Linked DNA regions of Alligator mississippiensis. The protein of the gene in region 3 binds, or shares a complex with, the protein of the main gene of each other region. Links are inferred from orthologs where the notes say so. Each region holds a gene or a part of one and is shown on either strand. Other genes may lie near its edges.

Region 1 (10,042 bases), on a different chromosome or scaffold from region 3:
TTTTCTAAGTACTGTCAGGAAAACCAACACAGTCCAGCCAAACTTCTCTCTCTATACAAGGCCAATGCCCAATGCTTTAAAAAAAAAATCTCCTTCCCAAAACAAACAAACAAAAAAACAACCCAAAAGCCAAATAATGTATTCACAGGGAGGAAAAAAAAAGTCCTCTTGGCTTCTACAAGGAATCAGGAGAAACTGACACAATGGATAACCACATACTTCCCACTGAGATAAGCTTCCAATAGAAAATTAAGAAATTTCTAATGGTAGCCACTGGAATGGGTGTAAACCAACAATAACCTGACATACACCTCCAACCAGGCTTAACTGTTTAACATTGTAACAATAAAACAAGGGTTTCATTAACATGTCCTTTTACTGCCTGACATTTTAACATAACATACCCAGACATAAATGGAGCTCTCTTCCTCCCTTCTCTCCCCTGCACTTCATTGAAGGATTAGGAACCCAGATTCACACACAGCCCCTCATTCCTAGATTACTGTAGCAAAGACTGGCTCAAACACCCTGCTCCTCCAGCCATGGCTACTCACACACTGGTAGAACTCCCTGTAGCGGCCCCTCGTCATGACTGGGTTATCCCTCCTGTAAACTTTAGCAATGTGGTAGCGTTTAATGTTGGTGATTTTGTTCATGGCCAAATAACGAGCAAAGGGCACCTGAGAACAAAGGGTTAAGGATGGAAACTGGAGAGCATCTCCCAAGGCCTGCAGCCACCCAGACTTATCGCTTTGTAGGCAACCACCAAGCCAATACAACACAACTTTACAGCAAGTCTCAGGCTAATGTAAAGTACTGCAAAATATTCTTCCGGGCAGGGAAATCAGGGCTTGTGTGACCACTTTCCAATTAATCTCACTAACAATAATGCTGAGAAAACACAGCTCCTCTGCTGGGTCTTTGTGGCTTTTGATGATTTAGTTCCGATACAAACTAGATTAAATAGATAATTGGATGGAATATACTAAGGGTAGACACCTCATGGAATAAAAATACCTTGTTGTGCAATTTGAACAGAGATGGAGAATCAGAGACAGAGGTCCTACATGGAGGACCTATTTAGTACCAGTAAGAAAGACAATGGCTCTTCTAAGAATAGGAAGTTGAATGGAGGGAAAGGAAGGAAGCTAGGGTCAGATGAGTGCAGGGAAGGGGGTCAAGAGAGTAGGAAGAGACAAGGAACAATGTTTATAGGGAATGCTGGAGCAAGCATACAGCTTCTATGAAAAAAAGTGAATTTTGGCTTAGATCTTGAATCAACTGGGGAGCTGCTTTTGAGGCATAGAGTATTCTAAGCACCACTTCTCTCACCCCATTCTCATTAAAATATTAGGCAACTGTGGTGTCGATGCCTACAGTCATATGGGTTGCAAATTGGTTGGAGGGCTGCACCCACAGAGTGGTGGTGGACAGGTCATTTTCGACCTGGAGCGATGTGGCCAGTGGGGTTCCCCAGGGCTCAGTCCTCGAGCCCGCACTGTTCAACATTTTCATCAGCGACTTGGACGAGGGGGTGAAAAACGGATGACACTAAGATGTGGGGAGAAGTGGGCAGGCTAGAGGAGAGGGACAGGCTGCAACTAGATCTCGACAGGTTACAGGGGTGCATGGATGAGAACAGGATGGGTTTCAATACTGACAAGTACAAGGTATTGCACGTGGGGAGGAAGAACCAGCAGCATACCTACAGGCTGGAAAACTCCCTTCTTGTCAGCACAGAGGCAGAAAAGGATCTTGGAGTCATTACTGATTCCAAGATGAATATGGGCCACCAATGTGAGGATGCGGTCAGGAAGGCTGACTGCACCTTGTCATGCATCCACAGATTCATCACGAGCAGATCCAAGGAGGTGATCCTCCTTCTCTATGCGATACTTGTCAGGCCACAGTTGGGAGTACTGTGTCCAGTTCTGGGCAATGCACTTCAGGAGAGATGTGGCCAGCATTGAGAGGGTCCAGAGGAGGGCCACTTGCGTGATCAGGGGGCAGCAAGGCAGGCCCTACGAGGGGAGGCTACGGGACCTGAACCTGTTCAGCCTCCACAAGAGGAGGCTGAGGGGGGATCTGGTGGCAGTGTATAAACTGGCCAAGGGGGACCAGCAGGCAACGGGAGAGTCCCTGTTCCCCCGAGCACTACTGGGAGTAACAAGGAATAATGCCCATAAGTTGACCGAGAGTAGATTCAGGCTAGATATCAGGAGGCACTACTTCACAGTCAGGGCAGCTAGGATCTGGAACCAACTTCCAAGGGAAGTGGTGTTCGCTCCTACCCTGGGGGTCTTCTAAAGGAGGCTAGATAATCACCTAGCCGGGGTCATTTGACCCCAGCACTCTTTCCTGCCCATGTCAGGGGGGTCGGACTTGATGTTCTGCTCAGGTCCCTTCGGACTCTACCAACTATGAAACTTCCCTGCAGATGATTTTGAATAGTGCTACCCCAAAAGGTTTTTAGTAAATGTAAGCTAATTGCTCACAGAATGTGGATGTTAGTGAAAACAAGGAATGGATAAAGGGACGATGCATATTTTAAACATAATTGATGCATATAAATAGACTTAAAATGCATATGAACATAATTAGTTGACATGTAGTATAAGTAATGAGAATAAAAAAAGAGTCAAAAAAGTTTTTTATTAAATGGTATTGTTAAAAAAAAGATATTTGTGATCAGATCTTGTATTTGAAGTGCATTCCAGCACCATGCCAGAGTACACTTTTACTATTGTTTGAGCCATCTGAGTAACCGTGTTTCACTAAAGTGAAACTTTGCTTTCATGACTTATTGTTCTTTGATTTTACAGTAACCATATAGCAGCTTTTAGTGCAAGTTAGAAAATGCTTATTAGACAAATCTCATTGTTTTTTAAGGATTAGTGCTGTTTTTTAAAACTAAGGATTGGCAACCTATGGCTTGTGAAGTGTGATGCAGAGGTCCAATCCAGTACAGTGGATTGGTCTCTCAGAGCTGTGCTGCGCTGCCTCTCGACTTTGCAGTACTCCCCTCAGCTGCAGAACTTGCTGCTCTACAACATTTGAGCTTACTTTGCTGCAGAGGGGCAGAGACTGGGCAATGCTTGTAAGCACTGTCTTGCCCTAGTAAAAGCCTGACAACCCCTGGTCATAAGTCTTTCAGTATCTAAAAAATAAAACTTTTCCTCTGAGCCAAGTCTGGCCAGACACAGTATGATAATTAGGTGTTTATACTTCCATTAAGAATACAAGGAAAATTATGGAGTGGGGCAATAGTGGGGATTGTGCACTTGCCAGAGTGTTAAAGGCTGGGGGCTTGAACTAGTCAGAGACAGGAACTGCAGGAGCACAGATGAAAGGAGACGGTCAGGACAAGGACAAGGTGTGACTGTATACAAAGGTGAAGATGACAAATGCAAGCTCCTTTCTAACTTGCAAAGCAGTATGTAATCATCCTCCTGCCCCGTTTTCCACCCTCCACCAGTGCCTAAAACACCTGCAACTCCCCCCCTGAAATGGTTCTCTCTCACAGTAGAGACTCTGGCAGGATACAGTGAGGTCATAGCGAAGGGAAAGCAGCTCACCCCCCTGATCTTTCAGATCATAAATGAGCTTCGAGTCCTCTCCATACTTCCCAGTCAGAGTTTCCTAGAGAAAAAAAGACAATTGTCTGGTAAGAGAGCCAAGGCCCAGGAGCAGAATCCAGCAGCAAGCTGTTCCCAGAAGCAGAGAATCCCTTGAGCCTGACTTTCCGAGGTCAGATCCAAGCCCTCTCCAGTTTTACTATAGAATGAGTTTTCTTTCCTTGGGCACTACTTATAACTGAGGCATTAGTCAAGGCACCTGTCCCTAAAGTTACAATTAATTCAGCTGCTACCCCTTAATGCACCAAAAATTAAATGGAAACAAAACTACAGAGCCAAGGATCCCACCTAACTTGCATCAGTGATTCACAGTCAAATCCTCCCAGATGTTAACTTGCCATCCCTGCACTCACTGTCAGCTCAAACACAGGGGTGTCAATGACCTCAGCCCCATGACGCTTGAAACAGTTGATGATGGTGCTGAAGACTTTCTCCCGGATGGCCATCTGCTTTGGGCTGAAGTCCTGGGTGCCCTGAGAACCAAACCCAACAAGAAATGGGTGAAGAAGTGTTAAGAAATTGAAGTATCCTAATGTCATAGATTAGCCAACATCCATGCAGCTGCCAGCTGTGGTGGCTATTCAAAACAGTAACAAAAAGTTCATGACAAGGAACAACTAGGCCTTAAAATTGATGATTCTTTGGTGTAAGAGTCAACCACAAAGAAGGAACAGAATGAGAGAAGAGCTTTAAGGCTGAGACACTGGAGCTGAGGATACCCTGCAAGAAACCGCACAATGTAGGTCTAAAAAGGGAAGATCTCTTCCAATGGTGGAAGCACCAATCCAAGTGCAATCAAAGGAAATGAGATAGGATTATTAGGAAAGGAGGCAACTTGGGACAGACCCAGCCCTGTGAAGGAGACAAGCCATTACCTTGGGGGTTTTAAGAATGAAGTTCTTTTTCCCTTCTTCAGTTTCCAGCTGTGCCTTTGTCTGCAGGAGCTTTCCCACAGTTTCTACTATCTGGGAACAGAGACAAGGCTGGTGATAAAAAAGAGCCTGATTCTGACCTACAAGAGCCAGCTGTCACAGCATGGAGAGATGGTAAGATGACAACTCAGCTGGCAGACTGTAGTAAGTTTCCTTACTATTAGAAGCTCCACTGAAATTCAGGTCCTGGCTTTATTAGGTTCTCTCACATGTAGGGTCTTAAATACTATTAAGGCTCCAACATAGTCCTTGCAGCTCAGCTCAGCATAGCACACAAGAATCAGGGAGCAGTTACTATATAACAATTCCATAATAAGGGAGTGTCTTTACTTTGTCTTTTTTGATAGACTAGAAAGTCCCTAAACCAGACCTAGCATTTTCTAACTAGCCAAAATAAATGCCATTAGCATTGTTTGGATTATTGGTGCCCAACCTTTTGGCCCTGTGAGCTGGATGAGCAGTGTGGGGCCAGTCCACAGACAGGGAGGGGAAGGGGATGGATCCAGCCACTAGGTCAAGCCCTACACATCTGGCGCCAGCCTTGAACACAGGCGCTATATAGCACACAGGGGTATTCCATCCAGCTTGCGGACCTCCCCCTGGTCCCGAAATTTGGCAGGAGGGAAGCAACCAGTAACTGTGTCACCACTTCCCTGCCGCCAAATTTCCAGACCTGTGGGGGCCCCGCGGGGCGGATGATACAGGCCTGACGGTGGATGTAGCTCGAGGCCCTGCGCTGTGCTGAAAGCTACCCAGGATTGACGATCCCTGCTCTCGGCCGACATCGCCCTTCAATTGGCAGACCCTCAGCACTCACCCGGTCCCGGGGACGAGCGGAGAAGGCGCGCAGGGCGCGAGGCGGCCCCCAGGCCCGCGCAGCCGCACGGCGGAGCCCGCTCATAGCTCCGCTCGGCCGGGCCCGCGCCGCTCACAGGGGGCTCGGGCCGGGCGGGGCCGCTCACAGCCTGCGGGGACACGAGGCGGCGCGCGGAGCATCACCTCCCGGCCCGGCCCGGCCCGGCCCAGGCTCCCGGGCACCACCGCCTCGCGCCCCTAGCGCAAGCCGCCTCCTCAGCTACACTGGAAACCCAGTCCTGGGCTTGGAGCAGCCACTTCCGCCACCGTCACTTCCGTCACGGAAGCCGACGCCGCGCGTGGCCGGGCTACTCGCCGGCCCTGGAGGACTTCCGCCTCCTTGTTCCCTCGCGGTGGAGATGGCGTCGGGCAGCGGGGTAGGCGGCGCGGGGCGGGCGGGGGCGTCCCGGCTCCTTCTCTCGGGAGGGAAACGCCGCCGCCCCGAGGAGCTGCCTCCGGCCCCGGAAAGGAGTGGGGCGGGCGTCCTGCGCGCATCGCCCGCGCGGTCCGGCCCGGCTCCGGCCGCGCTTTGCTGCTGCTGCCTGCCCGGGAGTGCGGCACAGCCGTGCGCCCCCCCGGAGCCGTGTTCCCGCCTTGCTTTGTCCTCAGTGGCGCCCCGCGCTGTCCCCCGCCCCCGCCCGCGGTTCGCTGCGAGGCGTCGTTTAGGCGTTAGGGCTGCACCTGGGTTTCTCCCGTCCTGTCCCGCGCAGCCGCCGGGCGAGGTCGGCTCCTGCAGGCCTCCGCTGTTGGGATAGGTGCCCCCAGTGGTGCCTGACCTTTCTGCCTCCGTGTCCCAGATCCGGTTGGTGGGTCCAATCTGATCATGCCACTCGGGACTTGGAAATCTGTGGGTGGGGGAAGCAGGAGCAGCTTAATTGCCACTGCTCCCTGCTGTCACATCTCCCAGCCCACCAGGCTGGATTTGGCCCAGAGGCCAAGGGAGAGCACCCTGAATTATACTCTCCACTGATTCTGGATGGCCCGTGGCTGGCGGCTGCCATGGCAGGGTGCAGACTGGGTCGGGATCTGCCTAGGAAATCGGCGGTAACCAGAGAGCCCCAGCAGTGTGGGCACCCTGAGGGAATTGTGCTAAATAGTCCAGTTCCAAAGTGTCCCTCCAGCACACTGGTTTAACACTTGCACAGGAGGGCTTGGCTGGTAAAGATAAATCAGGCATGTTGCTGTCTTGATCATAGGTGTAGAAAAAGGTATCCCCAGTGCATGCAGTAGGTAGGTAGAGTGGGGAAGGGACTCTACTATATTCTGTGAAAGAGCTGTAGGTCAGTGGTTGAAGAGCCACTTGTGGCTCAGGAGCTATGGTCTGATTCTTTCTGCTCTAATGGCTTCTTTACAGCCTAACAAGTTCTGCAGAAGGTTTTCCAATGCTCTTATAACTGCTTTGAAATTCCTTGAAACTGCTTTTATGTAACTTAAGACGTGTGAATTTCTGCTTTGTTTTTCTCTATTAAAACTGTAGTTGTCCCAGAGCTCTTGCTAATGGATCATATTCTGACATTTATCCATGTTGACATGGAAGGCCTATATGTTGCAATACATTTCCAGTACAACATGTTTAAATTGTTCTGTCTGTGTGTATAGAGTTCATCAGTTATCAGCCATTACTGTGAGCCAAAGGCTTTAGAATTATAGTTGATATGTTCACGTTCAATAGTGTGGTGGTGAGGGAGAAAACTAAGAAGAGAGAGAGACAAATCTGAGGTTACTTTTACCTTCCTTCAGTTAGACCCTACAGAAAAATACTTATGGAGAATCAAAATTCTTCTTATATGAGGAGTTTTGAAACATTCTGCTACCTTCTGCTGTAAACCTAGGGAAACTTGCTCCTGAGTCACAAGTAGGAAAGGAGGGACATCTTCACAGAAAATGTACTGGCAGGAGGAAAAATATATATTCAAGTGGGATGCAAGACCTTATATCTGTCAGAAAGATTTGGTGACCTCATCCCCAAACCCACCAAGAGACAAACATTAATGTCCCCAACTTTCTGTGGCCCTTTCTGACTCCTCTCTTCCCTTCCTCTAAACAAAACTTCATACAGAGGTAAGATGGGGAATTTCTCTACAAATTCCAAAGAAATTCTCTGACTCAGAACTAGATGGGGGTTGAGACATATCTCTATTAGGAGCTGCTTGAGGAACATTGCTGTTGTCTCCCCTTGTTCCTGAGCTGCAAGAGGAGTGACTGTGTACAGATGACTCTGGTACTATTGTTATACTGTATGGAGATCTTGAGTGCCCATTGCTCATCTGCTTCTGAGTTAAGAAACCTCATTCCCCTTGATCGTATTCTTTTTGGCTTGCTACTGCCACTAGACTTAGCCCAGGATGCTGTGTAAGCTGCCAAATCCATCCTGTGTCATTGTGAGACTATTCTGCCTGAAAAACCTTTCAGAATGTAGTGTTGAAGTCGAATGAAGAGAGCATGGGATTTAGAAGGGTAAGGCTTCTGGCATTTGTTATAACTGCTTGCCAATTCTAGACCACGTTAACAATCTATAGTAGTACCAAAAAGCCAGCTGTCAGCACCACAGGGACTTGTATATATGTTGTTTCTGCTTTGGCAAATATTTCCATTGTTTGGAGTCAGAGCATGAAAAGTGAGCAGAAAAAAGAATGTTTGAGTGGTTGTGTGGTCTGTCAGCACAGGAGGCCAAATTGGGGCACTGACTTTTGTTCCTGGCTGTAGGGTGTCATGTCCATTTGTCAGAGCAGAAGCCTTGACTTGGGACTCCTGAGTTCTGTTCTGAGCATTGTAGTTGTGTTGCTACATGACATTGAACAAGTCTCTTCAGTTTGTGCCCTGCAATGATTATGAGGCTTTTGTGTACTCCTTTTAGTTCCTATCTGATGTCCTCTATTGGGAGAATATTATTTGTAACCCCTGAGCAGTTATTAGATAAAGATTTAGGGGTTTCCAGCAACCCCTGTCCCCTTTTTGATCAATCTGAAAAAGTTATTTTAGAATTGCTAGCGATGGCCTTTTAACAGCTAGATCAGAAGTTGGGTTTGATTTATTTCACTGTGTTTGGCCTAGGGACACTGGTAAAAGATCTTCAAAAGACAGTATCCTTTTTATTATAAAAAGAGAGTGAGGCAGCAAGTAAATTGCCTTCTCTCCAGGCTCCAACCAACTTTGATTTGTGATAATACTGTTTCTATGTAGGAGAATATAGAGTCTGGAAAATACCCCAAAACATTAATTTACACTTTGTGAATCTCCTTTTCTTCTTGCTTGGGGAAGCTAATAAGAAAATTCTTTGTTATAACATGCTTAAAATGCTTTAGAAGCTCTGGGAATAAATGGTAAGTTTGCTACCTGTCTCCCAGGCATTCTTATTCTCATCAGTAGCTATTCTTTATGTTGGAAGGATTGCCAGGAGGTGGAGATTTTGAATGATTGCACTGCTGCTGTAGTCTTAAATGAAGTTTTTTATTTTCTTTGGAGCTTGACTGGATTCTTGGTTTGATTAACCAAGGGGGGAGGATACATTTTACTCCAGCACATGCTATCTATCCCCTTTCCCCCCAGACATGAGCAAAGAGATTTCCACAGGAAGACTTTCCTTTTTATCAATTTTCAAAAATTAAAAACATGAAGAGGATTTTAAATATTGATACTTCTGTTACTGTTAAATAAAATTAAGAGAAGTCTGTTTTATTCTAACCACTCATATATATATTTAAATGTCTTTAAAGTGGGTTTCTGTGCAAAAAGTCTGCACCAGAAATGTTTCCTTTTTTCTTGCTGCTTTTTCTTTCTGAAAGTCAGGAAAGGAGAGTTAGTCGTGGACTAGCTGACTGTGAATCTTGTGCAATTGGTCATCTGAGATCTCAATGTCTTGGCTTTACAATAAGAGGGACATGAAAATATCTGACTAGAGAAAATGGAGGGTTTTTTTTAAAGTTTATTTTGTGTACGTCTTGCCTAGTGTATAGAGGTTTTATCAGTATTAGGTTGGATACTTGGATCTAATAACTGACTTGTTGCTTTGTTTCTTTTATTTCCTAGCCATGCCTATAAAAGCTCTTTAATCCTTCATGCACAGTTTGTGTCTGTGCATGTATGTACATCTCTACACATTAAGACTCTCAAGAGTTTATTGTTGCCTTATCTGGCTTCCTAACGGTCTCTTTTGGATTCACATTTAACTGGCTTAATCAAGAAAACTTAAAATTTTCACTTTGTGCTTGGAAACCCTGTTTCCAAACAGACAAAAGTAATCCGTGTATTTGTGCCTGTTTGAAAGACAGGGATGAGTATTTTGTGAAACTTGGAAAATTTAATTTGGTATTTGGTTCAGTCCTTGCAGAACCTCTTGACAGGTTTTTTACGCCTGCATAGCAGTATCTTTCTGTGCTAGAGCCCCTGTTTCTGGCTGTGGGTAGGTGGGGGTCACTGGAATTGAGTGATCTTTATTTGTCAGTGTGGCCCAGCACACCAAATCATTCAAGCTCTCTTCAGGTTCGGTCTCTTATTGCTGAGCGTAGAATGTGATATATCCTAATTCATTTGGTTCTCTCACAGACTAAGAACTTGGACTTCCGCCGAAAGTGGGACAAAGATGAATATGAGAAACTTGCAGAGAAGAGGCTCACAGAA
Region 2 (10,065 bases), on a different chromosome or scaffold from region 3:
AGTGCTTCTAGTGCACTGCTGGGGAAGGAGCAAATTCAAGAGCAGTCTGCATGAAATGGTTTCTAATAATCTCTAAAAGGTTCTAGAGCTGCAGCATGGTTAGGGAGGGAGGACACAGGGAAACAACAGACATCAATAACAGGCATCCGTGGTAAGCAGACACCAGATTTACTGTATCAGAACTATCTCCTGCTCAAGTCTTCCCTTGGGCTGCCTGCCCAAGTGCCATGCAGACAACTCTAGAGGAATATGCTGTAAACATGCCCACAAATGGTGATGCAATTTCCCTCTGTTGAATCCAGACAGTCAGGGAGTATGGGGGACAGGGAAATTGGACAGTGCCTGAGACTATTTCCTGCTTCTCCCTCTTTGTTGATAGGAGCCATGTTGCCCAGCCTGCACCAGTCTTTGGCAGATAGAAGTGTAGGAAATGTAGTTTGAAGTACAAGAATGTTATAGCTCAACTTTGCAGCTAAGGGACACACACCACACAAGCTGCATGTTGCAGGGGTAATCCCTCCAGGATCCCCTCCTGCTGTGCAGGCTGTGCCAGCAATATAAGCCCCTCTGCTCTTTGGGCTGTGCCAGTGGCATGCAGATTCCCCCCCACCCCTGCTGCACCCGCAGCACACAGCCCCCTTGCCCTCCACTTCACAGGTTGTGCTGGCAACACATGTATGTACTCTGGGCCTTCTCCTGCTGCACAGGAATGGGAGTAGTGGCTGTCAGTGCCTGCAGGTCACATGCTAACTGTTTGTGGGTTGCACACTACTCCTAGCAGCCTGCTAATTGGACAGCCTTGTTACAGATGGTTGTTTACAGCCAGCATAACCAGCCATAGTTACTTCAGTGTCACCTGGGTGGCAGTTGTGGAGTGGTGCAGCTTAGCATACTTATGTCATCTCTTTGTAGGTTTTAACAGTGTTGTGCAACATAGCTGAGAAGGGCTGCGCCTACTGCCAACAGCTACACCAGAAGGCTGTGCTTTCTTCGCTGATCAGTATCCTCACCCTCTCTGATGCTGAAGTGGCAGGCCAGTGCCTTGAGCTGCTGCATCTCCTCTTCCTGCATTGGCCAGAGGTACAGCTTGGTTGTCTTTCCTTGTGTTGTCCAAACAAATGTGTTGTTTAAAAAGCTTTAATGTGTTTAACTTCACCAAACACAGAACAATGAAGCAAAGAATGTCGTAGGGCAAGGTGCTGGTGACACCTGCTGACTTAAGCTCACCTGTACTGAAAATACAGTCCAGGGAAACTTCTGTTCTTTTGCCACCACCCAGAACCAGGAAAGTTCAAGTTCCATGGGTTTACCACAGCAATATGAGACAGTTAAACTACCTTGTCTAATCTGAGCATTGCACCTGGATATTGTTGTAGCGGGCATATTATAAATTCAACTAACCCTTAAACCTCATTCCCAAGAGCTGGTAGGATGAGTTGAGTTTTATTCAAGATCCAAGGCAGTACAGTTCACATAGGCTACACAGAAGCCTTTGGGACAGCTCCCAGTCTGGGCTAGCTCTTAATTTACTGTCCTCTTCTGGAACAGGCTGCTGCTGACTTTTTCACCCAAGCAGGACTGCAGGCCCTAGAACAGCATCAGCACCACCCAGAGCTTCAGGAACGAGTAAGAGCGCTCATGAACTTGGCTACCCAGCCAGCTGCAGCCTCACCCTGTTCCTTGGTTTCTTCAGCTGCTGTACCATCTTCTCTCCCCTAGAGGATACTGCCTCCACACTAGTTACTTTTCCTATTAATCACCCCACCAGTTTTGTATATTGATAAATATTTTGGAGTTTAATAAACCATTTTATTATGTCCTACTTTCATATTATGAGCCAAGTGCACTGGCTATTTTCTGATAAAGTATCAATCTGAAAACTTGAGTGATCTTACAGACAACTAGCTGGGAGATCAGTAAGTGGTACCTAGGTGAAGGGTATCATAACTAAGCATTATTGGCAAGGTTCATTGTATTCAAATTTGAGATTACCCAGCCTAGCACACTCACTACTAGAGGATAGCTTAGTATTAATGAGAAGCTTTCCCCTTATCCTTAAGTACCTCCTGCCTGCCACTACAGGAAGCTGTTCTGCTCAGGCAAGGACCAGAATAGTCTCAGTTGACCAGGAGGAAAAGGTCTCCTTCCTCAAACAGGTCATCACTGAATCACCACAGACTTAGTCCCTCTAGTAAGGGGCACAGATTACAAGATACCTTCCAGCACAGCATCTCTATTAAAAGCATGCATCTTACAATATGCTTTATATGCAGTGAATAAGTTACAATGACAGATAGAACATGTTCTTTGTTAGCCCGTTTGAGCAAAGGCTCCAGCACATGCAGGCTTAATTCTTTGTATTCATGCCTTGCTTTTAACAATGTTCTCCAGGGCCTGGGCAACTTGGTCCACATTCAGGTTGTTCAGGGGCACGCACTTTTCCCTGCCAAACTCTGGGGGGAAAAAGAGAGAATTAGCAACATCCAGAAGAACCAGTTCATTCTTTTCCCTCCCTAGCCTCAGTGTACAGTTTATTCTCTATTGCAGATCTGGAGTGTATTAGTTGGTCTCACAAATATGGCATGTCATAAAGCTTTTCCCCTTCCTTTTCTCAAGTTTTGGCCTCTCCACTTCCTAGCTGTAAATGGTCTTCCTCCTCCTCAGTGTTCACATAGTTCTGTCCTATTGTTTTGCTTACCTGCGTTCTGTACTGTTTGTCCCTTGAAAGAGACTATTCAGAAAGATAGCCTCACTTGCTAGCTCCATGAGCAAGGCTCCTAGTCTGTCAGAGGCACTGCTCTGCCAGGGGCAAAACAGCCATGTCTTATTTCATTCATCTCAAAATCCTGAGAAGTGCTTGAGGAAAAGCTGTCTGAAAGATTTTCTGGTGTGCCCCCTGCTGGTTGTATTGTAACTCTCCTGCTTGGTTCTTGCTGCACTACTTGCCTCCATAATTTGTTCCATATGCTAATTCTAAGGATGTTTAAGGATTTTTTCAGCAAAGAATAAGTAGTAGAAGAAAAAAAAAAAAGTGAAAAAACCCAGCAGAACACAGTACAAAGTAAGACTAAAGAGAACAAAAGAAAATAGTACAGAACATAACAAAACAAGACACATGCATCTGTTACAGGAATCTCAGCTTAGTAGACACCCATATCAGACAGAAATATTCAAAGGGAAAAATTAACTTCAATCAAAGACTTAAGCACACTGCACACTAATGCTAGCATTCAGAACTATTTGGACTTATCACCATCATGGTAAATTTAAATGTCTTAACTCCTTAACGATCTCATGAAGAATGTCTTGAATTTGAAAGCTTGTCTAAATTGAACTGGACCCACTGCCTGGTTGGAATAAACATATTTCCCCCCCCCCGCCAAATCCTTGCTTCACATCATTTCATAGTAGCTAGGGTCAGGAAGGACCTGAACAGATCATCTAGCCTGACCCCCTGCCACAGGCAGGAACGAATGCTGGGTTCACAAGACCCTAGACAGGTGATCATCCAACCACATAATTCCTAAACTATCGCAGCTGCAACATACTTTAACTCCTTAATCTCTCGTCCTTTTATAAATCAGGCTCTTGTTTTGATTTGCTGTCTTGCTTTCTTATTTCTCAAACTGAGTAGGCCCCACAGCCTCATCCTGAATCCATTCCCTTGTGTGCAATGTATATTGTCACCCTTCTCTGTATTAAAAGCAATCCACTTGATGAGTTTGTGGTTTAATACAGACACCAAGTGTATAGTGCCACAATTGCTCGTGTGAGCTTTTTCTGAAGGTAGTACATGAACCAAGAGGCTAACCTTCAAAACAAAAGGGCCATGATACTGATAGGGTGCTGCAGGCTCCCAACTCACCATATCGAGCCCAGAGTTTAGGCTTCACCTCTGAGCATTCCCGGATTAGGATGGGGAAATCTGGATTTGCTTTCTTCAGAGTCACATAATGCTGTTCAATGAAGTCTCTGCAAAAAGAGAACAAATTAAATCCCAATATCATTGCCAACCATAGCTACTGCGAGAGAGATTTAAAATATATTTAATTCTTAAGGCCTCAAAAGCTCCACATGCACTCAGTCCTTCTAAAGCAAACTCTGAAGCGTTCAGAGGGAGAGGCTGTCCTATTCCCCATAGAAGTTACAGTAATGAAAATATGTTCCTCAGCTCTGCTCCCTCTCACCTATATCAAAGTGCTCATCTGGTAGCATCAGGGCTGTGCAAGGTTTTGGAGGGTAGCAAAATAAATGCAAAAGGTTACAAGGGATCTCTTATCTCCTTTGTGTTCAGACAGACAAGTGTCATAACATCAATATCGTCCTTTCACCTCAGGCAGAGACAAGTGTCACCTATCACAGTACAGGAAGTTCCTCTGGCATGCACAGAGGGAGTCTAGCTGCAAGAGAGAAGTGCAGAGGAATATTTTTTATTAGTCTTCCTCCTGCTGGGGGAAGCTGTCAAAGGGAGCAGGCTCAAAACAACTGTTATCTCACTCCACTGCTTCAAGTCACACTGCCCAGGAGGGTCTCATACATCACTGACCACCATCATGGAACATTACAGGACACTGAGACCAGGCCACAGCATATAGACCGGTCTCTCAGCTAATTCATACCAAGCCTTATCACTTTTGCTAACTCTCTGTTAACATACCATTTTGTTATAGCTTATAGGAAACTTACAAGTTTATAGGCTTTAGGCATTAAAAAATGAAACAATAGAAAGCCCAGTCATTCTTAATGCTCAAACCCATTAGCTGAATTAGTGTCGCTAGAAACGATGCCCACTTTAATGGCAAGCCTAACAAAGCAAAGCAAGAGTCAACACATTCAGAATCTAAGGGCTGGGAATAGATGTTAGGATGACAGACAATTTGTGCAGTTGTACAGTAATTATGCTTTTGTCCCAGGAAAAAGCCTTCCCCCCACCCCAGGATCCAATCTCTCTGAACTATGCAGGATAAAGTGTGCCAACACTTTTTCCCCAGGACATGGCTGCATGCACCTGTAAGGTTACTCTGCTTTTTTGCCCACCCAGGACAAGCCAGCTAGGCTGTACATTCCTCTCTGGCAGAGCAGCAGCAGCAGCAACACAGCCTGAAAGGGCATCATGTAAATGATTGCACCACACCCGTTTTGATCCAGGTCAAACATCAGGACAAACAAGGCTAGTGTCAAATGAGAGATATCTATTTACATTAGATTACCCTATAATTCAGAAGGGCTGTGCTGAAGACACACACTGTCCAAACAGTCACTCCCGTAACATCCAATCAAACGAAACTGCAGCACAAGTAAGTATTATGGGGGCTTTTCAATTATAAAATGTACTCTGGCTCACTCTCAGCTAGTTCCAGGGAAAGAAACCCCATAAGCTCCCTAGAAGAGAATTCAAGTGAGTGTGTCTAGTCCCTGGGACCATACTACACACCAGGCTCTCACTATCACTTGTCCCAAAGGGAGTTCAGAAGAAACTACCTCATAAGTAGGTTTCTCCATACTCGTCACTTTAGAGTTCTTACATCTTTTTCTGCATAAGCCCACCTGCCCAGCCTGGCTCTCCCATATGCACTGCTGTCAGAGAATAAATATTAGAGTCAAATGAACACTGGCCTGACCTCACACAGCAATATCTAGGGGCCCAGCCTTGACTATGTGCTGGGGGAAGCAGGAGCTGGAGAAGCTGCCAGCAAAACGGACACCAGGGCACCCTGAAGGGCAGTGAGGGAAGCGTACAGTGACCACCCCAGGAAGGAAGCACATCCAGCAGGGTCCAAGAGAAACCATTTCCAGCAGCGGCTCAAGCACAACCCCCTTCCCCGCGGGGCTCTTTCACGCGGCCCCTGGTGGTCTCCCGCTGCCCGCCCCCGCGCCTCTGGCCGGAGCAGGGCCGCTCCTCCGCCTCGGGGTGCAGCGCCGAGCACGGCGGGGCCGCGACGCAGGAACAAGGAAGGGCCGTTCCGGGAGGAGTCCGTGCCCAGGGGCGTCACGGCGGGCCGGGGCCCTCACCTGGTGCCCTGGCTGCCTGGCGAGCGCTGGCACAGGTGGATCCGAATCTCCTTGAGGCTCCGGCCCAGGCTGCCCCCGATGCCCCGAACCGCTGCGGCTGCAGCTGCCATCTTCGCAGCACACCACCAACCAATCCCGTACCCCGCAAGTCTGGAAGACGCGCCGTGTCACAGGGGCTCCAGCCAATCGAGCCGCGCTTTGGGAACCTCCTTAGCCAATCCGAAAACAGCTACCCAGGATGCCCTAGAGCGCTGCATTGTGGGTAGTGGTGGGCGCGGTGCATGGTGGGAAGAGGTGACCCCAGCTCTCAGGTGTTGTGTTGTCGCAGCCGCGCGGGCCGAGATGCCGGAGCGGGACAGTGAGTGTCAGCGGTGGCGCGGGCACGTCCCCGTCCCCGCGGCCGAGGCGCTGCGGGCCCCCGGCTGGGAGCTTAGCCGCAGCGCGGCGGCCCCGACTCCGGCAGCGGCCTGCGCCTAGGGTGCGCGGGGCTCCGGGCCAGTGGCGGCGGCGGCTCTGGGTTTGCCACTAACCTGCCCTACGCGTACCGGGGGCCGTGACGTGTGTGTGTGTCTGTCTGTCTGTCTGTCTGTCTGTGTGTGCGTGCTCCCCCTGGGGACCCACCTTGGCAGCTGCACCACAGAGCAGCCCGACCCCCTCTCCCGCCTGATCTGCTGCTCTGCTGCTGCGCTGTTCACCCTAAAAGCAGCTTGTTTTCTGAAAACGACTGCAAATTATTCCTGAGCATTTTCATATGGACTTGAAGCTGCAAGAACATGGGGTCAGTGCAGGTTGCTGTTGGCTAGTGACTATCTGGAGTAAAACGAGTACCAGTTCTGTACGTTCTGTGTAGGGACTAGCTGCCACATGTACATGGAGCAGCACATACTTGTTTACTTTGGCCAACAAAAAGTGTTGCTATTCTCTGTTTGCTGTTGACTGAATTCCTATGTTATCGCTCTCTAGTTTGGTGTTTACAAACTTCCCCAGTAGGCGTAGGAGTGGGCTTGGGAGCACGGTGTTCAGGTTGAAAGGCTCAGTTCTGTGTTTCTTTCTCCTAGATGAGCCGTTCTCCAACCCTCTGGCCCCAGATGGCCATGATGTGGATGACTCCCACACCTTCAACCAGTGAGTATATGAGTTTTGGTGTCTTTCTCTTTGGAGGGAAAGTTTAGAATAATTTGTCCTGTGGAAAGGTAGGATTTTGAGAGTTTTATTGCTACAGAAAAAAAAATTAGCAACAGGTAATAGATTTCAAGATCAAAAGGGGAGACCTTTATGAACCTTTACTCTGACTTGCTGTATAGCATAGGCCAAAGAGTGCCAGTGATTATCACACCTAATACCTGTTAGCTGAATTGCAGTGTATGTTTAGGATCCAATTTTGGTCTAAGGACAACAAAGGAACGGAGTACCAACCTCATCCGTAGGCTCTTTTTCAGTGGTTGGTAGTCCTCTGTTAAAAACTTTTGTCGTATTTCCAATTTGAACTTGATTACGTGTGTAATCCAGTGCAGGCAGCTGTGCCATAATCTACTGGGAACGCAGTATTCAGATTGAGATGCTTCAGTTAATTATTGTCCTGTTTTCAGGTTCAGGGAAGGTAAAATTCATCAAGGAAAAAGAGTTATGATGTTGGAAAAAATAGTATGTTGTCACTACTGCAACAAGCTACATTTCTTCTAGGTCCAAGCTGACCAATGAAGACTTTCGAAAGCTTCTCATGACCCCGCGGGCTGCGCCAACATCTGCACCACCCTCCAAATCTCGTCACCATGAGTAAGTAGATTTGTGTACCCCTTTACTTTGCTCTTTGACCCAATATGAGCTCATTGGTCTTGGACAACTTATACATTCAGTTCCAGTTCTCATTTTAAAGATTTTCGGATTCTGTTTCTGCCTCCCTGTTAGTTCAGTTAAACTAGATATACACCTGGGCAGAAAGTCTAAAGGCCCTATTCTGAATGTATTTGGTTTCTGGGTATGTTGGTGCTAGCTCTGAGTTCCCTGTGTGGCTTGTTGCCTTTAGTTCCTCCTGCTCCTGTCTTGTGCACCTCTGCAGTTTGTGATGTGTATGTATGTTTTTGCCTCTCCAGGATGCCCCGGGAGTACAATGAAGATGAAGATCCAGCTGCTCGCAGAAGAAAGAAGAAAAGGTAAATTGGGAAAGCAATGTCTCAGGACCCCCCTGCGCCCATCAGCTATCCACTTCCCAAGCAGTGCATCAGAAAGTGACCCTTACTGGTCTGGAATATCAGTGGGTTGTGGAATGAAGGAAAAGGACCACTTGTATTAGAAGTATTTTTGATAGTGGTTGTAACCTTTCACAACCCCCATCATAGGAATTGAGGAGTGCAGTAGGATGGTATCAGAGATTGCGTAGATTGTCCCAAGAAGGATACTAGAAAAGAGGGAGCACCTGAGGTAGCTCCCCTCTTTGATGGTAATTAGGAAGCAAATAGGATATCTTGCCTGTTCAGCATTTCACTTCAAGTACTGCAGATGTCTCTACTGTGGCATGTGTACATGGGGCAGTGTAGAGTGGGTTCTTCAGTTACAGTTTTTCTACAGTATCTAACTAGATATCTGTCGCCTTCCACACTAGCTGTGTACCTAAATACATTAGGAGTAAGTATACAAAGAGAGTTAGGCAAGAAAGATGGTCTTTGTTTTCCACTGAGAAGTGATGACCTGAATGGAGCAGTCTGATGCAGGAAGGCTGTCCTGGATAACAGAAGCTGCTGAGACAGCTTTTGCACTTATAACAAAGCAAATATGAAAAGGGACAATCAAGGCCAGTCCCTGAAAAGCAGAGGAGTGGAGGGAGACCTTGTCTAGGGGAGACTGCAGCAGTTTGAGCAAGGTTTTATAAACATGTTTTGTTTGTTTATTTTTGTTTGTTTGTTTTCTGAATGGTGTTGGGGTAACAAGAGGAGCACAGTACAAGTGTTTGAGGATGGGGTGCTGTGGCCAAAGGCAGAGAGCAGTATTCCATGCTTATTGGAGCTTGGAGATCTGTGACCTTGGGGGAATAATGGAAAAAGAGTTGCAAGAAGCTAAAAGCCTGGCTGAAGATTTGAATAAACGATGGGGGGTGACATGCAGTGCTGTATGAATGGCTGTTGGCAACATTAGCCAGCATCTCGCAAGTATAACCCAATAGCTCAACGACCTAACCCTTTTCCCACCCTAGCTATTATGCAAAGCTGCGTCAACAAGAGATTGAACGAGAGAGGGAGTTGGCTGAGAAATACAGGGATCGAGCAAAGGAGAGAAGAGATGGTGTTAACAAAGACTATGAAGAAACTGAACTGATTAGTACAACTGCCAACTACAGGGCAGTGGGACCCACTGCAGAAGCGTAAGTGAGCTTGTGTCCATTCATTGCCCATCAAGGTGTAGCCTAGAGTTGGTCATACACAATGTGCTCCCTTTTTATTGCATAGGGATAAATCAGCTGCAGAGAAGAGAAGACAGTTGATCCAGGAGTCCAAGTTCTTGGGTGGTGACATGGAGCACACTCACTTGGTGAAAGGTCTGGATTTTGCGTTGCTGCAGAAGGTAAGCACAGATAATACAGCAATAGGGCTTTCTATTAGAGGTGCACTGATGCATCAGTCCGATATTGGATTGCAATGATATAAAGAAAATTGACTGTACTGGAAATTAGCCGATAAATGCCCTGTGCATGCATGCAGCCACAGCACAGCATGTAGGTGGTGAGGAGCACAGCCTGGCAGCTTAGAGAGCTGCATCCAGCTTGTAAGTCTGTTGTGGTAGAAGGGGAGGGGCGCAGATCAAGGTCCCCCATGGTGAGAGAAGGGGTGGGGCAGGCACAGCCCAGCTGGGATGAGGCAGAGCACAGGATGGAGCTGTGGCTTGTCCAGCGGGCGTGGGGAGGGGCTACAGCTTCCATGGCTGTGCGCACCCCAGGAGGGCACGGGGGAGTGGGGGGGGAGGCGTGTGCCCCCAGATCTGCTCAGGGTGGGGCAGGGCAGACTGCCGCTGTGGGCTAGGGCCAGGGCTGGGCCAGGCTGCACTTGGAGCAGGCAGTGG
Region 3 (9,466 bases):
TAAAACTGAAGTCTTGATCTAAGGTAATATCAAGCACTTGGGAAAAATGTAACATTTTACCTTAATATGTCTGCTCAACTGTGTGGGGAACTTTTCCTCTTCTACATCTTTCACGGCTGCTTTACCTCTGAATAAATCAATTGTCATACCTGGAGGAAGCAATCCCTGGTGCTGTTGCCACTTCAGTGCCTTTTAAGAAGGGAAAAGGAAATATAATTAGAAACATATGTGCTCAAGCAATGACATATCCTTGTAAGAGGTTTTGTTCACAATTCTTTCAAACAGAAAAATTTTCCTAAAAACCTGTAAACATCTCTGAACTAAAAGGACACACTGTGTTCAACCATTTGATTCTTTTACAAGCAATCATTTGTAGGTTTGTTGTGCAGTATGGTGCTGTGTTGTACAGCTTCCCAGGACTGGCTACAGAAGCACAGGGGGAGGGAACAAGGTGGCAACAGCAAGCCCCACAGCCCACATGAAGCCCTCTCCCTTCATCCCCAGCATCCACTTGCACAGGGAAAGGCAGGCAGAGCCACATGCTGACAGACAGGCACGGCTTCTTTGTGACTGCTCACACTATCTTTAATGTGTACTAGTCCCCACTCCCAATCATATGCTTGCACACGTATAGGGAGGTGGAGGCAGTACCTTCCTGGCCACTTTCCTCGGGCATCACACCACTTCCCTTCCCCACTGGACTGCATCTGGCGCTAAACTGTAACTGTAATGCATTACTGCTATAAATATACTTACTGTTAACTAATTTACCTTTCACAACCCTACACCTTACTATGATGAAATCCTTGATGACAAGAGATGGTAATTCACATGCAAATATGATATTAGTGAGATTCTACTGCAACAAAGTTCAGGAATGGTTTATCCCACTGAGACTCTCAGATAACAAAGATCTAGAAAAATTAGCATAGCAAGTAAAAATATCTTTTTCAAGCGTTACCTGCCCCAGCAATGCCATAAGGCGAGAAGGAGGTACAACACTGACTTCTCCAGCCAAAGCTTGAGCAATAGCAGCTCTTCGTTTCTCTTTACTGCTTCCATCTGGATATGCCTAAAAAAGGAATTACACATGAAAGAATCTTTCCTCGAAGATATATAGCTATAGCTCTCTCTCTCTCTAGAGATCTATCTATCTATCTATCTCAAGAGAAAGACAGAGATGTATGTATGTATATGTATACACAGACATACATATTTTAACTAATAGCATATTACACATTAGCATTTTGGCCAAAACATACCACAAGAGTTTGAGGGGTCAGGGATAAACCAAAGAAAGAAACCCAGATAAAAATCATTCTGAGGCCACAACTGAATAAAGGGATTTAATGTAAACTTAACATATGCAGTCTAAAACTTTAATTATAAAGCACTGCAGTTTTACAGGCATGGAGGTTAAATAAATTGGCCAACGTTGCACAGAAAACCTGTGGCAGAGATGAGGACTGGCTGAATCCAGGTCACTCAAATGCCAGCCTAGGACTTTCACTATAAGACCACATTTCCTCTCAGTTATGAAACAATATTAAAAATATAGTTTATTTGTTAAATGCTTTATAAAAAGTTGAAGAAACAAAAGTGAAGCATAATAGAGTAAGAACAATTCTAAAACTACAGTTAAAGACGTCTAGGTTCAGGAATGACTTATTCAGGAAAAAACTCAACAAAAAACATTCCAAATACAAGAATATAACGTTCACTGGTTGGTATGTTACATAAAAATGCTAGCTATAAATTAACGTATACAAAAAACCCAATAACGATGTATTTTTATCAATAAAACTATACCTCGCGGGGATCAAAGTAGGACCTAGCCAGAAGGTTTTCAAGGTGAATATATCTCTCTGGCTGAGTTTGTTTTAACATGATCATAGGGTCAGTTTGCCTCAGCAGGGATCTAGCAGCACCCAGCTCACGAAGCTCTATCAATTCAAGGACAACCTGAAAGGATGGAAACAGTCACTTTTAGCATCCAGAAGATAAAGAAACACCATTCCAATGATTGCAGTTAAACTACACAATAACATTTTCTACTCCAAACTAAGCCATTCTTCACATATTAGTCTAAGAATGTATTATTTAGCTCATATACTAGTTTACATTGTAAAGACTCATATGGCCTAATTCCAATGATACAACACATTAGTTTATAAATGCAAAAGAATCCTTTTGCTGGTATCCGCTTTGTCTGTCTGGGGATGCATCACAATGGGAAATATATAGGGCAGAGTTGGACAGTGGGCCAGACTGACCTTTTCAGATTGTGGGCCAGATTGACTCAAATCAGGTCAGCCTTGGGTGGGTGAGCAGAAGACAGGTATTAGGAACCAGCTGCTGTCATCACTTTTCCCAGCAGTGGCACCAGGAAAGTGCCTACCAAGGTCTGTTTTTCCCACGGCGGCACATGGAGAGTGTTTACAGTCAATGTTCAACCCTGTGGTAGCAGGGAAAGCCCTTTTCTGCTACAGGTAAAAGCAGCAGCTGCTGACACTCTTCCCATGCTGCTGCAGGGAAAACTGGACTTGGTAGGTGCTTTTCCTGTGCTGCCACTGCCCAACATGCACCCACCCACCTCTGACCAAAACCACGGGTCAATACAGCTGCTGAAGCCCCATGTCTGCAGGCTGGGCCAAAAGGCTCCTTGGATCAAGCCCATAGGTTGCCAACCCCTAGTACAGAGAGAACAATAGAAAGCTACTGGGAGTACATCACCATGTTGTGTGTTTGGGGGGAAAGATGATTGCTGTCATGTCAGTGCAGTGAGTTGGAAGAAGAATACTAGTTATAGCTATGACTCCACATGTGGAGGAGGAGGGGAAGGTTGCAGAGTTGTTGGAGGTTTGTTGGGAACTACACAAACATTGTAACCCAACTGACAAAACTGCACCAAGAAAATCTCTGCAGCACAACGCCCCTGCTCTGGAGATACCTGCTGCTACTTTTATTTCGAGTGGAACTGTAACTCCCTTCAGGGGTACGATTTTCCACACTAGCTCTCCAGGACTGTTTAATCGTGTTAAACATGGCCAGTGCTTGAACTTGGCTTGTGGCTCCTGATCTCAACAGTGACATCAGAAGCACAGGCAGCCATCATGAGGTCAGGGGAGAGTTCAGACAATAAGAAGTGCAACTGAGTCCTTTGCAGGAAACACTGCTTCTGCCACCAGCCCTGGGGGGCAGGTGCTTAAGCCCTCTTGGCGGGTGTGGGGAGCTCATCATGCTGCTCCCACTGGGCTGTCAGAGGGGACTGGGCCAGGGGGGCTCACCTGCTCATAGAGGTCAATGAGGGTTTTGTCGGGCAGCTTGAGGGACTGGATGGCCTGCAGCACCGTGTCCCAGTGCCCGCTGTTGATGTCCGCCACGAAGCTCTCGATGCTGTCCACGGTGTTGAGCGACACGGTGGTTTCCTCCTGCAGGGTGGCCAGTGCCCGGTGCAGGCTGTTCTCCTTCAGGTACTGCATGATCAGCCGGATCACGCTGCGCGGGGACAGCACCCACACCGCTCAGCACCGCCGGGGCCGGGCGCCCTCCCCACTCCCCCACCCCAGGGACACCCCGAGGCGAGACGGGCCCGCCGCCGCCTGTCCCCTTGCCCATGCCACCCCGCGCGCACTCACTCCGAGGACTCAATTTCGATGGACATCTTGCAGTAGCAGCAGCCACGTTCCCCGCCGCAGGCCCGCACAGACGCACCGAAACAGCCGCTTCCGCCCCACGCACGGCCGCTTCCGCCGCACGTCGGCACCCCCCGCCCCCCAGGGTCCGCGGCGCAGGTTGCTCGTTGTCACGTGACCACGTCGGGGGTGGGCGGGGCTACGAGGCCGACGCGCCGCGCCGGAGCAGGGAGGCGAGTGCGCTAGGCGCTGAGGCGTAGGTGGTGCTGTGGGCGCGGGGTATTAGTCGTGGCTCATGCGGTTCATTGGGGCCCGTAGAAAATGAGAGTTGGAAGGGACTGTAGGAGGGTATCTAGTCCTACTCGCTGCTCAGAGCCACGCTAGCTCTAGCTGTGTCCTTCCAGCCGAGGCTGCCTCTAGCCGGGGCTTAAAATGATCTGTCAGGGTTAAAGCAGGGTCGGCAACGGTTTTGAGCAGTGTCAAGAACACCCACAACTTCAACTTGTACGATGTTGGCGTGCCGGGGCAGATGACGTGGGAGCCACAAAGGGCCTGATCCTTATGGCCATACAGCCCTGGCTTCTTCCCTACCATCCACCCAGGAAGCATACATGCCAAACAAACTATCTTTGGGTGCCACACTTCGGCACCCGTGGGGGGGGAGGTTTGCCTGCCCCTGGGGTAGAGGCTCCACCAGGGTAGCCTGTTCCAGCGTTTTGCTGCCCTTCTCCAAAGACTGTTTTTCCGCATAACTAAGTGGACTTCCCTTGCTGCAACTTTAGATGGTTGCTCCTTGTTCTATCATCTACCACCACTGAGAACAGTCTAGCTGAGCGGTTCCCAAACTCCTGACAGATAGTACTCCACCAAGTTAAAGTGATACAAATGACCACCAGCAAATCTGGTCTAGCCCCATTCTCTTTCAAACCACCGTTAAGGTAGTTGAAGGTTGCTCTTGTATACCTCCCTAGTTGTTTGTCTAAGTTTCCCCTTCTTCTAAGCTTCCTTTTTTTATTTTGGCTCACTGAAGAGTTCCCTGCTAAGCCAAGAAGGTCTTCTGCCATACTCACTAATCTTCCTGTGTGTCAGGATGGTTCGTTTCTGCACCCCCAGTAAAGTGTCTTTAAAATATGACCAGCTGTTCTGCATTCCTTTGTTATGCAAGGACTTAAGTGCCTAATTAAATGAGGTTGCTCAATGGGCTGTGCCTTATACTGTCCACTCACATAAAGGGAGGTGTTTCTTGGCCCGGAGACAATTAGCTGCTAAACCTGGGTATATCGATCACTACCCAATTTACCAGGCAATTAGATGAAGTTAAGTTAACTACCACACACACTCAATTAGCACTGAAATGAGTAACACGGTTTATAATAACAACAGCAACTAACAACATTTAACAAGTAAAAACATCAACAGATAATCACAGGTTTACATTCTTAAATACTAACCACAACTAATGAATGAACAGCCAATAACTACTTCAGTTAACTATAGCAGGGAGAAAGGAGTGGAATTTATTACAGAGGAGCAAGAGTAATTTTATTTATCTCCACTGCCGTCTGATCTGTCACCAGCCATCCATCCTCCAGTACAGGTCCGTGGTGGCTTACCTCCCACCTTGCTGCCTTTTTAACAAGGGTGCTTAACTAATAAAAGGACAGAAGAAGGAGGAGAGGGATTGAGGTAATACTAATAAAGCAAAGAGCTGCTCTGTGTCAAAGACACATACACCCGGGGAGGAAAAGTCTGGGGAGCCGACTCTATTTACTTTAGTGTAGAAGCAAATCCAGAGGGGAGCAACCGCACGGAGGCCTTCGAGCCTCTGGAGTATACACAGCCTCCACAGAGTGCCTGTCTTCTCCTTCAGTCTCTCTCTCCGTGCTCTCATACTCTAGTCGATCTCCAACACAGGCCTCAATCGATCTCGCTCCCTTGACCACACTATGCACGCATCCTCAGACACACACAGACCCCAAACCTCACAGCCATACATCCACCTGCAGACACACATGTATTCCTCAAAAAATACGCAACCTCAGTCCCACACCAAACCACACCCCCCCTCAGACAAACAATTAAGCTCCGCCCACACACCCCCTTTATAGGCTATGTGCGCACGTTACCTAGGTGGCTCTGCACTTGGCCCCAGAAGCTTCACATGACACCTCTTTCAGTGGTCTTACATCATCTTTCATGAGGCAAGGTCACTCACAGTTCACTTGGTGACCCACTTTCCATCTGTGCTGTGGTACCATAGTGTCACCTTGTATGTAGGCCCAGACCCTAAGTTTGGCCGCAACAGTCCCCTCCTTGATACTCACATAGATGTAACAATGTTTGAGGTATCACTACATCAACATGAGATGCTGGGTCATGGGTTCATACAAATTCGCCATGCCTAATCATTATTGCAACCCCATGCCATGCTGTCAAGTGGGACACCAGATGTGACCACTTGTATTGAACAATGGGGAGAGGTCTCCACATGGGTCTACTCAGTGATCTCTTCTTTCTTCTGTTCCATTTTCCAAGGAACTTTTTACTAAACAAATGATTACTCCAACATTAATTCAACTTCTATAGACATTCAGCTTATCATACCAAGCCATTAACTCTTTTCATACATTATCATATACACTTTTTACATCCTCATTCATCTTTTCCATTGATACATATTAATCACTCTAATTTCCATCCCATTTTCTCAAAAACTCATCTTTCAACACATCAACAAATCTGCACTTGGATCAAGTCAACCTGATCACTCTGTATATGTACATTAACTTCTTTCGCACCCTGCACATCCATATCATTGTCATCACACTCATTATTCCCAAACGCAATTGTCCAATCATCACCACAATTACTGGATGGAGGGCCAGATTTATTACTCCAGATGCTATTGGGCTCCACCCCAACGTTTCCCACCACTGGTGCTTTGCAGTGTCAACAACCTGGTTAAGATATGTACAGATTCCTATGGATAACCTTTACGTACATATTCTCAGCTTCTTTAACATTCTTTTCTAATATTTTCTGAATCCCATTATGTAAAATCAGTTGTCTTAATACCAATAAATTAATTCCAATACAAACAGGCTCTATATTATCATAAACGGTAACATTTACACTTAATGTCCAATTATATACATAAGGAATAGAAACATTAACATCACAGCTAGAAACACGAGAAACGTGACATGCACAAAAAGTTTGATTCTGCCACAACACAACCGCCTTTTTCCAATGATTCTAGATAACTTCCGTACGCCAAGTGCTTATACAAATACACTGTTGATTGAGTACATATATGGCAGTTGTAGAGTTTCCTTCTCGAATTATATCAAAATGACACTTGGTAAAAGTAGAATTGTCCGAATTTCTGCAATTATCCCTAATTGGTTGATGCATGCCTTCACAAATGTATCTTAGTCCTTGGTGGGCAAGGCAACGTTTTACATCAGTTAGCTCTACTGAACTATCGTTTTGATAATTTACCCATTGTGCTTCTATCCTAGGAAAGAATAATGATCCATTTATTCTTCTTTCAATGTTGATGGGAGGATTAATGAGTTTAGTTTTGGCTTGAGCAATCGTGTGTATATCTGCTACTATTGCATTTCTCTTTGGAAGGTGTCCAAAGGAAGTTAACGTTCACCACTCTTTGAATTTCGGTCAGAGTAGCTACCTTTAAGACTAACTGGTTTAGCTCTAAGTTTTGATGCTGGATTGACCTTGTTAGATTATACCACTAATAATGGCCTGCACCCAAGACTGTGCCTGGGTACAAGATAATGCCAATCCTGTATCATTTTGCGATTTCTCAATTGCTTTTGCTCTAATTGAATCACCTCATGCCATATTGGAAGCACCTCTGCATTCAACACAGCCTGCTTTCCAATTTTGGACAAGGATGATGTAATAGGCCTTTTTATCTCTCTCAATTACCTTGTGGCCTGGGCTAGTTTATTCATCACTACCTCAGTATTTGCTGTATTCATAACACTGAGGCCAGCAACTATCCCACCTAGAATAGTCCCAGTATCTCATTTATTTCTAGACAATCTTTCACCCTCTACAATATTGGAAAACTGTTTTACCCACCCTTCAATTAAAATTGTGATAAAAGGTTTATAGTTAGGTCGGATACATGTAACACTGGCCGTTTCCAGTTTTAACTCAATATGTCTATTTATAGTAAAAGCTCTGTTATCCGGCATCCATGGGGAATTGGGGGTACCGGTTAATCAAATATGCCGGTTATCTGAGAGTTATATTTATGGTTCACCAAATTTTCCAAGTGCATAACACTTTTCAAGAAAGAAACTAAGCCTACATTTTAACTATGATATAATAACTTTTAATCTTTTAACTATGATATAAGGAATAATATAGTAAATAGTATACTGTACATTTACTGCCCCTCAGCTGCTTCTGAAGGCACCTTTGGATCTGAGGTTGCTTCAGAATGTGGCTCTGCTTCGGAGTGTGGCTCTTCTTGAGGATCATCAGCATCAGTAATATCTGATGTTGATGTTGATGGTGTTGAAATGCCTGGTTCCTTAACACAAGGTGCAGAAACTCTTTGAAGCAACTTGCAGATGTCTGCTTGCCTGCAAGTCAGTTGCCTTTTTTTCAGGAAATTGTTGGCACAACATGAAATTGCATCACTTCCTGAGCAGAATAAGAAGACTGTTGCTCAGCAAATTTCAAGAATGTTTCAAGACATTGTGCAGCAGTAGCCCAAGCCACTTTAGTTTCTTCACTGCGGTATTCTTCTGAGTCTTGTTCAGGTGCAGTAGAACTCTCAGGATGCACAACTTTTTCTATAATTTCAGCATCAGTAAGAGTTTGTGCAACATCAAGGTCTTGATTAATGTTTATCCACTCTTCAAGTCCAGTATCTTTAAGTTAATGAGTGGGTTTGTGGGTTCAGCATTTTGAAGGATATCAAGAATCTCTCTTAGTGAATTTTTGTTTATGAGTTGCATTGAAGCCTTCAAATTCTTTTTCATCAGAAAATCCCTCTGCAACCATTACTGCTGCCCACAGTTTTCTCCAAGCCCTTCTTAAAATTGCACTCTTCACAGCAGACCAGGCACATGCCACATTGAAAACTGTATCCTTAATGGTGTACTGCGAATGAAATTCTTGGAGAGTGCCTTCATAGTTGAGTAGCTTCCTCATAAAATCCCTTCTGTAGATGGATTTCAGACTTTCAATAATTCCCTGATCCATAGGCTGTATGAGTGAGGTGACATTTGCAGGCAGGAAGATGGTAAACATATTTCCAGACACTAACGCTGCTTCAGGAGGGTGAGCTCGACAGTTATCTAAAATCAAAATAACTTTTGTGTCTTCTGGCTTTCCAAGTTTCTTCAGATCCTCTTTCACTGCTGGTATAAAGACCTGGTAAAACCAATACAAAAATATTTCCTTGTCCATCCATGCATTAGGTTGTGCCTTGTACTCAACAGGTAGATGAACAACACTTTTGAATGCTCTTGGTTGCCTGAATTTCCACCACTAACAGCTTGATTCTATGTGTGACTGCTGCATTTGCACGCTTAAGCACAGTCAGGCGGTCCTTGTTCTGCTTAAAACCAGCTGTACCAACCTCACCTGCACCAGCCAGGGTAGAAGTTGGCAAACAACGCCAAAAAAGGCCAGTTTTATCAGCATTGTAGATCTGCTCTAGGGTTACGCCATGCTCCTTAACCAATTTATGGAAAAATGCACAATATTTTGCAGCAGCCTCATGATCAGCAGATTTTTTTTCTCCAGTCACATCAAGCCTTCTGATACCATAGTGAAGTTTGAAGCAAGAC

What was found.
Region 1: SMU1 (region 3) and ZMAT2 share a complex: the UniProt entries of both Homo sapiens proteins name them as parts of the spliceosome B complex. The link is inferred for Alligator mississippiensis from reciprocal best matches to the Homo sapiens genes SMU1 and ZMAT2.
Region 2: SMU1 (region 3) and IK share a complex: the UniProt entries of both Homo sapiens proteins name them as parts of the spliceosome B complex. The link is inferred for Alligator mississippiensis from reciprocal best matches to the Homo sapiens genes SMU1 and IK.

What each region holds. Positions count from the first base shown.
Region 1 is NC_081832.1:42,418,478-42,428,519, reverse strand, and holds the start of ZMAT2 (zinc finger matrin-type protein 2), read left to right. Parts: upstream 1-5,696; 5' UTR 5,697-5,781; coding exon 5,782-5,799; intron 5,800-9,967; coding exon 9,968-10,042. Other genes in the region: histidine--tRNA ligase, cytoplasmic, read right to left, coding at 555-680, 3,544-3,639, 3,989-4,108, 4,511-4,600, 5,385-5,468. UniProt on the Homo sapiens protein: Involved in pre-mRNA splicing as a component of the spliceosome.
Region 2 is NC_081832.1:42,570,560-42,580,624, reverse strand, and holds the start of IK (protein Red), read left to right. Parts: upstream 1-6,262; 5' UTR 6,263-6,354; coding exon 6,355-6,370; intron 6,371-7,070; coding exon 7,071-7,137; intron 7,138-7,695; coding exon 7,696-7,788; intron 7,789-8,105; coding exon 8,106-8,165; intron 8,166-9,202; coding exon 9,203-9,370; intron 9,371-9,455; coding exon 9,456-9,570; intron 9,571-10,065. Other genes in the region: TMCO6 (transmembrane and coiled-coil domain-containing protein 6), read left to right, coding at 913-1,080, 1,549-1,719; NDUFA2 (NADH dehydrogenase [ubiquinone] 1 alpha subcomplex subunit 2), read right to left, coding at 2,362-2,453, 3,866-3,972, 6,013-6,122. UniProt on the Homo sapiens protein: Involved in pre-mRNA splicing as a component of the spliceosome. Auxiliary spliceosomal protein that regulates selection of alternative splice sites in a small set of target pre-mRNA species. Required for normal mitotic cell cycle progression.
Region 3 is NC_081826.1:152,717,934-152,727,399, reverse strand, and holds the start of SMU1 (WD40 repeat-containing protein SMU1), read right to left. Parts: upstream 3,750-9,466; 5' UTR 3,665-3,749; coding exon 3,639-3,664; intron 3,499-3,638; coding exon 3,288-3,498; intron 1,963-3,287; coding exon 1,810-1,962; intron 1,073-1,809; coding exon 962-1,072; intron 190-961; coding exon 61-189; intron 1-60. UniProt on the Homo sapiens protein: Involved in pre-mRNA splicing as a component of the spliceosome. Regulates alternative splicing of the HSPG2 pre-mRNA. Required for normal accumulation of IK.